Linked DNA regions of Drosophila melanogaster. The protein of the gene in region 1 interacts with the protein of each later gene in a pairwise test. Each region holds a gene or a part of one and is shown on either strand. Other genes may lie near its edges. The genes, in order: Chc and BicD.

The links.
Region 2: the proteins of Chc (region 1) and BicD interact in binary tests that used the Drosophila melanogaster proteins (3 or more experiments, as listed by UniProt).

What each region holds. Positions count from the first base shown.
Region 1 is NC_004354.4:15,832,217-15,837,416, reverse strand, and holds the start of Chc (clathrin heavy chain), read left to right. Parts: upstream 1-1,926; 5' UTR 1,927-2,130; exon of another isoform or gene 2,131-2,189; intron 2,190-2,504; exon of another isoform or gene 2,505-2,596; intron 2,597-2,662; exon of another isoform or gene 2,663-2,785; intron 2,786-3,045; 5' UTR 3,046-3,252; coding exon 3,253-3,294; intron 3,295-3,717; coding exon 3,718-3,925; intron 3,926-4,163; coding exon 4,164-5,200. UniProt on the Drosophila melanogaster protein: Clathrin is the major protein of the polyhedral coat of coated pits and vesicles.
Region 2 is NT_033779.5:17,470,011-17,475,227, forward strand, and holds the start of BicD (bicaudal D), read right to left. Parts: upstream 3,206-5,217; 5' UTR 2,315-3,205; coding exon 2,087-2,314; intron 1,843-2,086; exon of another isoform or gene 1,593-1,842; intron 1-1,592. Other genes in the region: Sgt (small glutamine-rich tetratricopeptide containing protein), read left to right, coding at 3,578-4,573. UniProt on the Drosophila melanogaster protein: This protein is essential for differentiation. It may play a role in localizing of Nanos (a maternal determinant) activity in oocytes. Functions redundantly with BicDR.

The DNA.
Region 1 (5,200 bases):
CATTGTGTGGATGCTACCAAATGTCCTGGAAATCGTAACGAATCCACGCATTCCGACCAAGGTATCCCCGCAGCTGTCCGGCGGAATCGTGTGATCCTGTCGCCCTGCCATCGCCGGCACCACAAAGTTCGCGCCCATGTCGCGGCCGCTGTAATCCTTCGATTACATCGTTACCTCACGGCGATAATCTTGGCGGGGCTGTATTATGGCGTTAGAGTGGGCGTGGCAACATGGATCTCAACTTGGGACTCTCAACCTTCTAGCTTTTATAGTTCTCGACGTTCATACGGACAGACGGACATGACCAGATCGACTCGGCTATTTCTCCTGATCAAGAATATATATATATATATAGATTATATGGTCGGAAACGCTTCCTTCTGCCAGTTTCAACGAATCTTACCCTTACGAGTAACGGGTATAAAAAATTGGAACTTGCATTATTATTGGCTCCCACAGAGAAGGGTATATTATTTGAATGACAACAACGTTTCAATGTAAATATATATTAAAATAATCTAGGTAAACATGAAAACGAAGAAAAATAAAAACAGAATTTAGTGGTATCTTTATGTTATCAAAATGAATATGATTGACAAAGCTCAGAGTCCGCAGCATTCTGCCATTTATCCTGGGCTTCCTAGATCCCAAAACCGAGTCGTAAGAACGTCTGTATATACTGTAGAAGAAACTTATATTAATAAAAGAATTTCCCTGGGAAACGAGGAGTTTATCAGTTTACCTTATTCTGTTAGCGACGGATCCTCTCCCAATGGCCCTGGGTTGAGGAATCCTGGGCGGGTGGGACGCCTAGCAGGAATGCGGCAGACTGCGAACGGCCAAAGCATCGAGCACTGGTCAAATTCGGACAATCCAGCTGGGTTTTTTACCACTGCAATAATGAAAAACTTTCAGAAGTCCTCAAGGGATTGCTCATGGTAGAGAGTGACATCGCTTTTGCTTTTAATAAAAGAATTTCCAAATTTTTGTGCCTGCAGGACAAAAATGATTATGTGTACCTTTTCGACAACTTGCTGAGGTGCTGGACCCTTCGCCCGTTCGAAGACTACCGCAAATCTGCGAGCGGGACGCCCGCAATATTCGTCTAGCTCCTTGCCCCATCCTTTGTCATGCCCTTGATCAGTCAAGTCAAGACGGTATAGATTCTATCGCCAAAAGGTGCTTCAAAATCGGATACTGCTGCTTACCTCATAGATTAAGATTTTATTGTTGGGACTCGGTTTTCCAAATGATAAAAACAATAAAAAAAATGTTTGGAGCAAATCCTAAAGTTGTTGTTTCTGTAGCACATTGAGTGTAAATGTCAAAAATAGTATTGAAAAAGAACAAAGTTAAAATCATCGCCTACTTAAAAATAGTATTGCATAGGAACAATGTTAAAATTATCGCCTACTTATTATCCAGCACTTAAGCAAGATAATTAATGTATATATATTTTTAAAAATTAACGAAAGAGAATGCTTTAGTCCCGTTCTCCGACTATCAGATACCCGTTACGCAGATAGTGTGAGTGCAAACGTGAAATTTAATAATTTTTTCTGGGGTGTGTTCTGTTACTCTACGAGTAACGGGTATAATAACTTCACATTCCAAATTAAATTGCTATAAAAAATAGATTTCCAATTAGAGAATATATCCAATTGGATCACTCGATAACACCTGTTAACCTTACGTATGTATTATGATCTAAAAACTTGTTATCGGCAAAATATAAATGAAGCTGATAAAATAAAATAAATTTGTTGTTCCTTACAAAGTTATACTACATTTACCTAAATAATAATTACATTCGAATATTATGAATAAATACGTGTAACAGTAGGATCGTGCGATACAAATATCGATTCGAATGTTGAATGTGGTATCGATGTTTTTTCACTCCACGCAATTGCATATTTGCCGTATATATCGGCATTAATTGTATAACTTTCACACCTCTACCTTGTCTTGCAGTCAGTATTTAGTCAAACAAAAGAAAAATAAACTACATTTGTTAGAGCTTGATAAGAGCTCAGTTTGTCTTCAGTGTGTGTGCCCGTCATCTAGCAACAAACCGACGTGATTATTTCGAGTATGATAGTACTTAGCGTACATTTTTGTTAAATTGCAGTAAGCATACGGGCTCCAAATATCTTTCGATTCATTGGGAAAAAATGTAAAGTGCTAAAGTGCGTGTGTGTGTTCGCTTGCAAATGCAATATATACATACAAATTTTGTTTATTTGATGTAAAAGCATCCGATTAATTTACCGTTTATCTAATTATGTTCTTGTTTATGTGGCATATTGCGGCACTGCAAGTGTGCGCGCTCATCTGTGAGTGTGTGTGCGCGAGTGCTGCTGTGTGCGTGTGAATTGGGAATTACCGCTACTCAATTTGATGTATATACACCGAATTTCGTCAATTTCATGGCATTGTCCCATTGTTATCAGGCGCAAAACAGTGATATTTAAATGCGATTTTCGATTTTCATGCACACACAGGGGGAGGGAAAACAAGAGCAAAATTGCTGTACATGTATTAGTCAGTGACTAATTGTTCAAAGCGCAACTCAACATGGCTGACTTTTTCTGTGGTGAGCAGCGATTTTTGATGATAATGCTGCCTCTTTTCTTTTCAAATTCTCTCTCTTGATTCGCTCTCACTCTCTCTCTCTCTCCCTCGCTCACCTCAAATAAAATAAAGTGCTGGTAATTTTCCCGTCGTAACGGCAAGTGCAAAAACGCAAGAAAACGAATAAAAATACCGATACAAAGGATTAATCGTAGGAAATAATTTCGTCTATATATTTTCTTGCACAAAAGCGATTGGGGATACAATAAGAGACTCGGTGTTTTATTTTAAGGGCGTTTACATCCATATGTACATACATATAGGCCTTTATCTTTCATTTTTTCATCCGGTGACGCTGTCACTTTCTATCAACAATAAAATAACGCCCACAATTTGATTTTTCCTCATTCTTGCCGCATCAGTGCTGTCCATAACTACATGTTTTTCCAAAATCTTTTGTCTTTCGTGCAGCTAAACGTTCCAATGGAAACCGAATCTTAAACCAGAAACCGACTAAACTCGAACGCAATTAAACAACAATAAATCCTCGAAACAAATCAAATACAAACTGTTACCAAGTGTGCAATTCAAGAAAACATCGTATTGGCATTGTTTTCGCAAAGATACATTTACGTTGTAAAGGTCTGTCAATAACTAGACCTCACTGTAGTAGTAAAGATGACGCAACCACTGCCCATCCGCTTTCAGGAGCATTTACAGGTGAGTAATATTAAATATTTTGGATCTACCATCATTACATATCCACATACGTACAACCCACCAATATGCCACGATTACCTACGATTATATCCGATTCATAAGCTCCCCACTTTTCTTATGAAAATTTCACGGTTTCCAGCTCTAATTCAACGTGTAAACAGAAAATATGGGGGCTTAGGTCGAGTTTCTACTTTGCTATACCTTCTATTCAAGTCTGTATACAGTGTATTTTCTATAGAACTAGTTATAATACAAATTTACATCTAAACTTAAGCAAAGTATTGCGAATATTTAATAGTAAATGTGGGTCAATCCAGGCCAGTTCAATAATTAATAATGAATGATTATATTGTGTAATGAGTGCGTATGCTATGATTTTCGATTTATCAATTAACACACATTTTCAATCTCCACTACGGACAGCTCACAAATGTCGGGATCAACGCCAATTCATTTTCATTCAGCACGCTCACGATGGAATCGGATAAGTTTATTTGCGTGCGGGAGAAGGTGAATGATACCGCCCAAGTGGTCATCATTGACATGAACGATGCCACCAATCCCACGCGGCGTCCCATCTCAGCGGATTCGGCTATCATGAATCCAGCTAGCAAGGTCATTGCGCTCAAAGGTAACTGAAACCGATGGTCCAGTCGATCAGAATGTCCGAAGAGGATCAGATTTTAGCTTAAAGTAACGTAGGCTTAGTAAACAGGTCCGCTTGTTATTACAACGTGTCTAGAAAACTTAAAACCTCACTTAAACTTTAACTTGAATATCAAATAGTAAGGAAAGAGATCAAAGTTTTTTTCCGGTCGACTGGGATAATGCATTTTTGAACATGTATAACTTTAGAATATTTCTTTTAGCGCAAAAGACGTTGCAGATCTTCAACATTGAGATGAAGTCGAAGATGAAGGCGCATACCATGAACGAGGATGTGGTGTTCTGGAAGTGGATCTCCCTCAATACGCTAGCTCTGGTCACAGAAACGAGTGTGTTCCATTGGTCCATGGAGGGCGATTCGATGCCGCAAAAGATGTTTGACCGGCATTCATCGCTGAACGGTTGTCAAATCATCAACTACCGCTGCAATGCCTCCCAGCAGTGGCTACTCTTGGTCGGCATTTCGGCACTGCCAAGTCGCGTTGCCGGTGCCATGCAGTTGTATTCGGTGGAGCGTAAGGTGTCCCAGGCGATCGAGGGGCATGCGGCCAGTTTTGCCACGTTTAAAATCGATGCCAACAAGGAGCCGACCACGCTGTTCTGCTTTGCAGTTCGTACGGCCACTGGGGGCAAGCTTCATATTATCGAAGTTGGTGCTCCGCCGAACGGCAATCAGCCGTTTGCCAAGAAGGCTGTCGATGTCTTCTTTCCGCCGGAAGCACAAAATGATTTCCCTGTGGCTATGCAAGTCTCTGCCAAGTACGACACCATCTACTTGATAACCAAGTATGGATACATACATCTGTATGACATGGAGACGGCCACGTGCATATACATGAATCGTATATCGGCCGATACGATCTTTGTTACCGCACCGCATGAGGCAAGTGGTGGCATCATTGGCGTCAATCGCAAGGGACAGGTCCTCTCCGTGACCGTCGACGAGGAGCAGATCATTCCCTACATCAACACCGTTCTGCAGAATCCCGATTTGGCCCTTCGCATGGCCGTGCGCAACAATTTGGCTGGTGCCGAAGATCTCTTTGTGCGAAAGTTCAACAAGCTCTTTACAGCCGGCCAGTATGCTGAAGCGGCTAAAGTTGCTGCCCTGGCACCCAAGGCCATTCTGCGTACGCCACAGACGATCCAGCGTTTCCAACAGGTGCAGACACCAGCTGGCTCCACGACTCCGCCGCTGCTGCAATACTTTGGCATTCTCCTCGACCAGGGCAAGCTGAAC
Region 2 (5,217 bases), on another chromosome or scaffold:
CAGTCGATGGGAAAATTTTTTGCGCCTGGGGCTCTTTGGAAAATACCCAGTTAATTTCAGTAAGCTAATTTCCAACCCAAGACGGAAACTTGGCCCTCCTTCGCTGCCGTCTGCCCGCTGATTTATGTCACTTTATGCTGGGGTCGCCCGAGGCAGATATCTTGATTGCAAGTGGAAATATGTCGCCCAGTCTCCACATAGCTTCCTTTAAACCTCACCCCTTTTTTTACACTTTTGTGGGGACACAGAAAATGCCCGCAGTGACGTGGTCGTCGACGTTGCTATTATTTTTTTTGTAATTTTTAAGCATCCATTATAAATGTGTGTGTGTGGGTGGAGGGTTCTTTTGGCCTCGCACTCATTTTTTTATTTGTGTTCTCGTAAAAGTTCAGTTGAGTTCAAATCCAACAAGCTGGAAACTATCAAGCTACGTTACAAGTGCACTGCCACCTGTCCAACAATTAATTGGCAGGCTTTTTGTTCGAAGCGCATAAAAATGCATGCGCATATACGTATTACGCACATACATATGCCCATTTGTAAAAAAGGTGTTACCGCCTGCATTGTGTGTGTGCGTGTGTGCAGGTGTTAACGCCCCCGTAGGATTTTAATTCCAGCTAACTTTTGTTAGCCCCATGGTTAATGGAACTTTAATTGCACTGTTTGCTAATTGGGGATACTTAAAGAATATGAACTATATGTTTACACCAAAATCAAATCTAAAAATAACAAATGATTTTGTTAATTTGCGTAATACAGTAAACATGTGTATAATTGTTCTGATCTTTATTTAACCAGTTGTATTTACTGTATGCTTTATTTACCCTTCTCCAACAAAATCGGCCTAAACCAACGTTTTCTTTTGGCAACAAGCAAAACAAACCAAAAAGGAAGCTTGTTGGGACACCAGTCGGAAAAAGCCAAAGCACGAAATGATAATAGACGGCTGAATGAGTATAGACTGCTTCCCCCATTTGATTTTTACCGAGGAAAGGACACAACTTTTCCCTGCCGTCTGGTAATGCAGTTCAGAGCCCGACAATCCACGGCCTGTGAAAATTCCAGAGGAAATGCCAGGCGATGACGAGGACTAATTGGAAAGGAAGGTTGGTGGTAAGAAGAAAAGGAGGAGTTGGATGTGGAAGTGGAGGTAGTTGGGCACTGAATAAAGGTGCAAAATGAAATGGCAAGAGTAGATTGGCCGTGCTGCAATCGGCCAACTGAAAGCTGAGATAATTTTTATAGGCCAAAACAATGTTTATGCCAAATTGAGCGTGATCAGTGGAGACAAGATAAAGATAAAAAAACAAAGAAAACATAATTTTGAAACAATGAAATAATTCTGCCAGCCAAATGCATTTTAAATGTTTAAGTGTTTTCAATCAAATCAAATGAGAATGCTATAGTGTTAACTTTAAAGATCGCTTTATGATTTGAACAACACATATCATCTAGGATCACTAGAATAATGGCATCGCATGGCTTTTTTTGGCCTTTATACTGACGGACAGAAGGACACTTGGCTAGCGATTATGATCTATGATAAACATACATAAATACTTTTTGCGGTCGTAAAGGCTTTCTTTCAGCTGTTAAGTTGTGTTTTTCATTTTTTAGTTTATTTATTGTTTTGTTTAGCGGACTGAATAGTATCTTCAATCGACCCAAGCGGTTCCACTGTATTTAAAGGTATACAAAACAACAGCACGTGACCATATGGCCAAGCCAGTTTCCGATTTCATGATCAGAGAGCGAATCCCAATTATTTCTGCTAGACCAGACCAGACGGACTTTGCAGAGCGATAGGTAGACTCGCCGAAAGAGAGTCAAACTGGCCAACAGGTGAGCGAGTTAGTTTGCCAGCAAGACAAATTGTTGGCCGTTGTGGAAAGGTTTTCTCTGTCTAAATATGTAGGTGTGTGTGCCCCAAGGTGTGTGTGAGTACGCGAGTGGGCCAGCTGGGCGATAAGCGGCGACTGCTTGGAAACAGATCGAAAAACATAGCAACAGAGGGGGCCAAATTGGCGGGTTACTATATAACCCATTGGAGCATTTAAAAACTGCGAAGAATTGTAGGCAAACTTACCTCCTGTGTGATGTCCAGTTCGTGGCGCGTGTTGTCGTAGAGCGTCTCCAGTTCCTCGCACTTCTGCTGCAGGGCGGACTTCTCCTCCAGCAGGGACAGTCCGTACTGGGCGGACTGGGCGCTGGCGGAGGACACCTGGTCCAGTTCGCGCGTGAGGCGCTCCACCTCCATTTGCAGGTCTTGCACGGATTGGTCCGCCGATGGGCCGTTGTTGCTGGCGCTGGACATGATGATGGATGGATGGTGTCCTTAGTGGTCGGGGGAGGGGGTGATGGTGTGGGTGTTGGTGGACGGTACAGCTGCCCGTGGGCAGGTGAATCTCCTCGTTGTTGCTGTTGATGCTTCTATCCTGGGCGGAATCTTTTCGATACAATTTTATGTTTTGGAGGGAAATCGATAGAAGTCGATTTGTATATGCCGCACTGTTTTGTTGTACTTCAGTGCTTTTTTTAAAATAATTTTTTTTATCGAAACCCCACACTCACACAACTCCACTCGCGGTGTGCTTTTTGCGTGTGTGTGCGTGCGTTTCACCTTTTCTCTTTTCCGTTTGAATGCGAACGTGTGTGTGTGTGTGTGGAATGGTATCGCTGCGGGTTTTCTCCTCTCTTCACTCACCGCGCTAAATTAGTAAATTAAACAGCGCTTAATGGCCAATTAACCGTGGGCTTTTAACGGCAAATAATTCTGCACTATATTTATATATGCCTGTAAGTCACACACACACACCAGCGCACTGCCGTACGCACACATAGGCGCGTATAAAACAGTTGGCAGCAGAAACTGAAAACGCAGCGCAGGAAGTTGTTTCAATTAACTCGAAAAGAAACAGCCGAAATGACATCACACAATTTCCCCTTTCCTTTCGTTCGCTGGCAAAGTGGGAGTTTTTCCCATTTTCCCTGCACTTTCCCCGTTCGCACGACTGCTCTTCGCGTATTCTCGTTATCCGTTGCACAATTGCGGCGTAGACGGCTAAATGCGGTATATATCAGGCCCAATCGCTGCGGTCGTCGATGGAGTCGAAATTTTCAAGCAAGTGCAAAAACAAAATTTTGTCCGCAATCACGTCGATTCTTGGCAATGTTTGTGACGGAATTTCAGTGCGACCGCAGGCAAAACTTTCGATAATGCGGAGAGGTGTGGAGAAAAGCGTTAAGAATGCGCTTAGCTCGGACCCAAACCTCGCGTTGGTAATAATAATCGCGTTTCCACTACTAAGGGTATGATTTTATTTAAAATGCTTGAAGCAACAGATTTATTTTTATATAAAAATATATAATATAAATATAATTTAAGCTGAAACCAAAGTTTGTAAACAGCGTCAGCATTTCCCATACTATCAGAATGTTCGATATATGTCTCAAAAGTTATCGGGCCATGTAGCACATCGATACTCGATTTTATATTCACATTTCGCCTAATCACATTTACTTTTCAACTTGTCTGTCGATCGAAATTAAGCGAACAGAAATCTAAAGCATAACCAAAATGCCGGACGCAGTGCAGCAGAGTTTCGTGCGTAGCTTCATTGACTACCTGAAGAAGCAGGGGGACGTGATGTCGCCGGACCAGACCGAAAGCATCGAGGTGGCGATCCAGTGCCTGCAGGCGGCCTTTGACTTGGGCGATGATGTGGAGGCAGCGCCGGCTGCGGCTGGTGAGGAGCAGGCCACCACACAGAGCAGCAGCACTGCGAGCGCACCGGACGATGATGCGGTGGCCAGCGGAAGTGCTGGTATCGGCGCCGCCGCCGCCGCCGTTCCCAATAACATTGACATGTTCGAGCTCTTCCAGTCGCTGTATACAGAACGCAATCCGGAATCCCTGGCCCTGGCCGAATCCATCAAGAACGAGGGCAACCGGCTGATGAAGGAGAACAAGTACAATGAAGCACTGCTGCAGTACAATCGTGCCATCGCCTTCGATCCCAAGAATCCGATCTTCTACTGCAATCGGGCTGCGGCCCACATCCGGCTGGGTGAGAACGAACGCGCCGTAACCGATTGCAAGTCCGCCCTGGTGTACAACAACAACTACAGCAAGGCGTACTGCCGCCTGGGCGTGGCGTACTCCAACATGGGCAATTTCGAGAAGGCGGAACAGGCCTACGCCAAGGCCATCGAGCTGGAACCGGACAACGAGGTGTACAAGAGCAACCTGGAAGCGGCCAGAAACGCCAGGAACCAGCCGCCCCAAACGGGGCGATTAAGGGAAGACCTAATCAACATGCTGTCCCAGCCAATGGTTAGGAATTTGTTCAACAACGCCGAGATCGACGTGGAGCAGCTGCTGTCGATGCTTCAGAATCCAATGATCATGAACACCATTCGCCAGCAGTTCGGCGGCGGCAATGCCCCGACCCTGCCCAATGACATGGTGCAAATGATCTATAACATGACCAGCCAATTGACTGGCTTTCCCAATTCGAACGCAAATCCTGGCAATGAACAGCAGCCGGGCAATCAGCCACCACCGAGCACCTAGAAGTGGATAGAATCCCGATCCCCGATCCCTGCCTGGATCGGCGGCACACAGATTAAGTTGTTAAGCTGAAACTATAAATGTATTTATAATGTTTAAATGGCTTCTATTACGCATACATACATACATACATATACATTTTTATCCAATGGAAATAAATAAATGACCGTGCAAATTGCCGCTGTTCCAATCGAATTTTCAATGAATATTAAATATATATATTATAATGCCTCATATATTTTTCTAGTTGCCCGTCGTTAACAAAATTAAACAAGTATATCACACAGTGCATGTAATTTAATGTTGCTTTTATTGAATTCAAGAAATGTATGCTAGGGGTTTTTTTTTTGCTGATTTGCATCTCTAAATGGTACAATTGTTAATTTGATATTACATGTCAAATAAAAACTAATGGGTTTAAAACAAATGCCGATCTGTCGCAAACAGTTTGTCGCTTGAAAATCATTATCTTCAAAGCGGTCAACTTGAAAGTAGGTTTTATATTGATATTCGTTCACTTGGTTATTGGTATAATCTTATATTTATGCGTTTGACAGAATTGAAGGTAAAAACAGGAGTGATATAAATTTCAAACAATGCCAGCGCCTTTCTTTTGGGAAATGTATGAAAAGAAGGCGTGGCGTGTT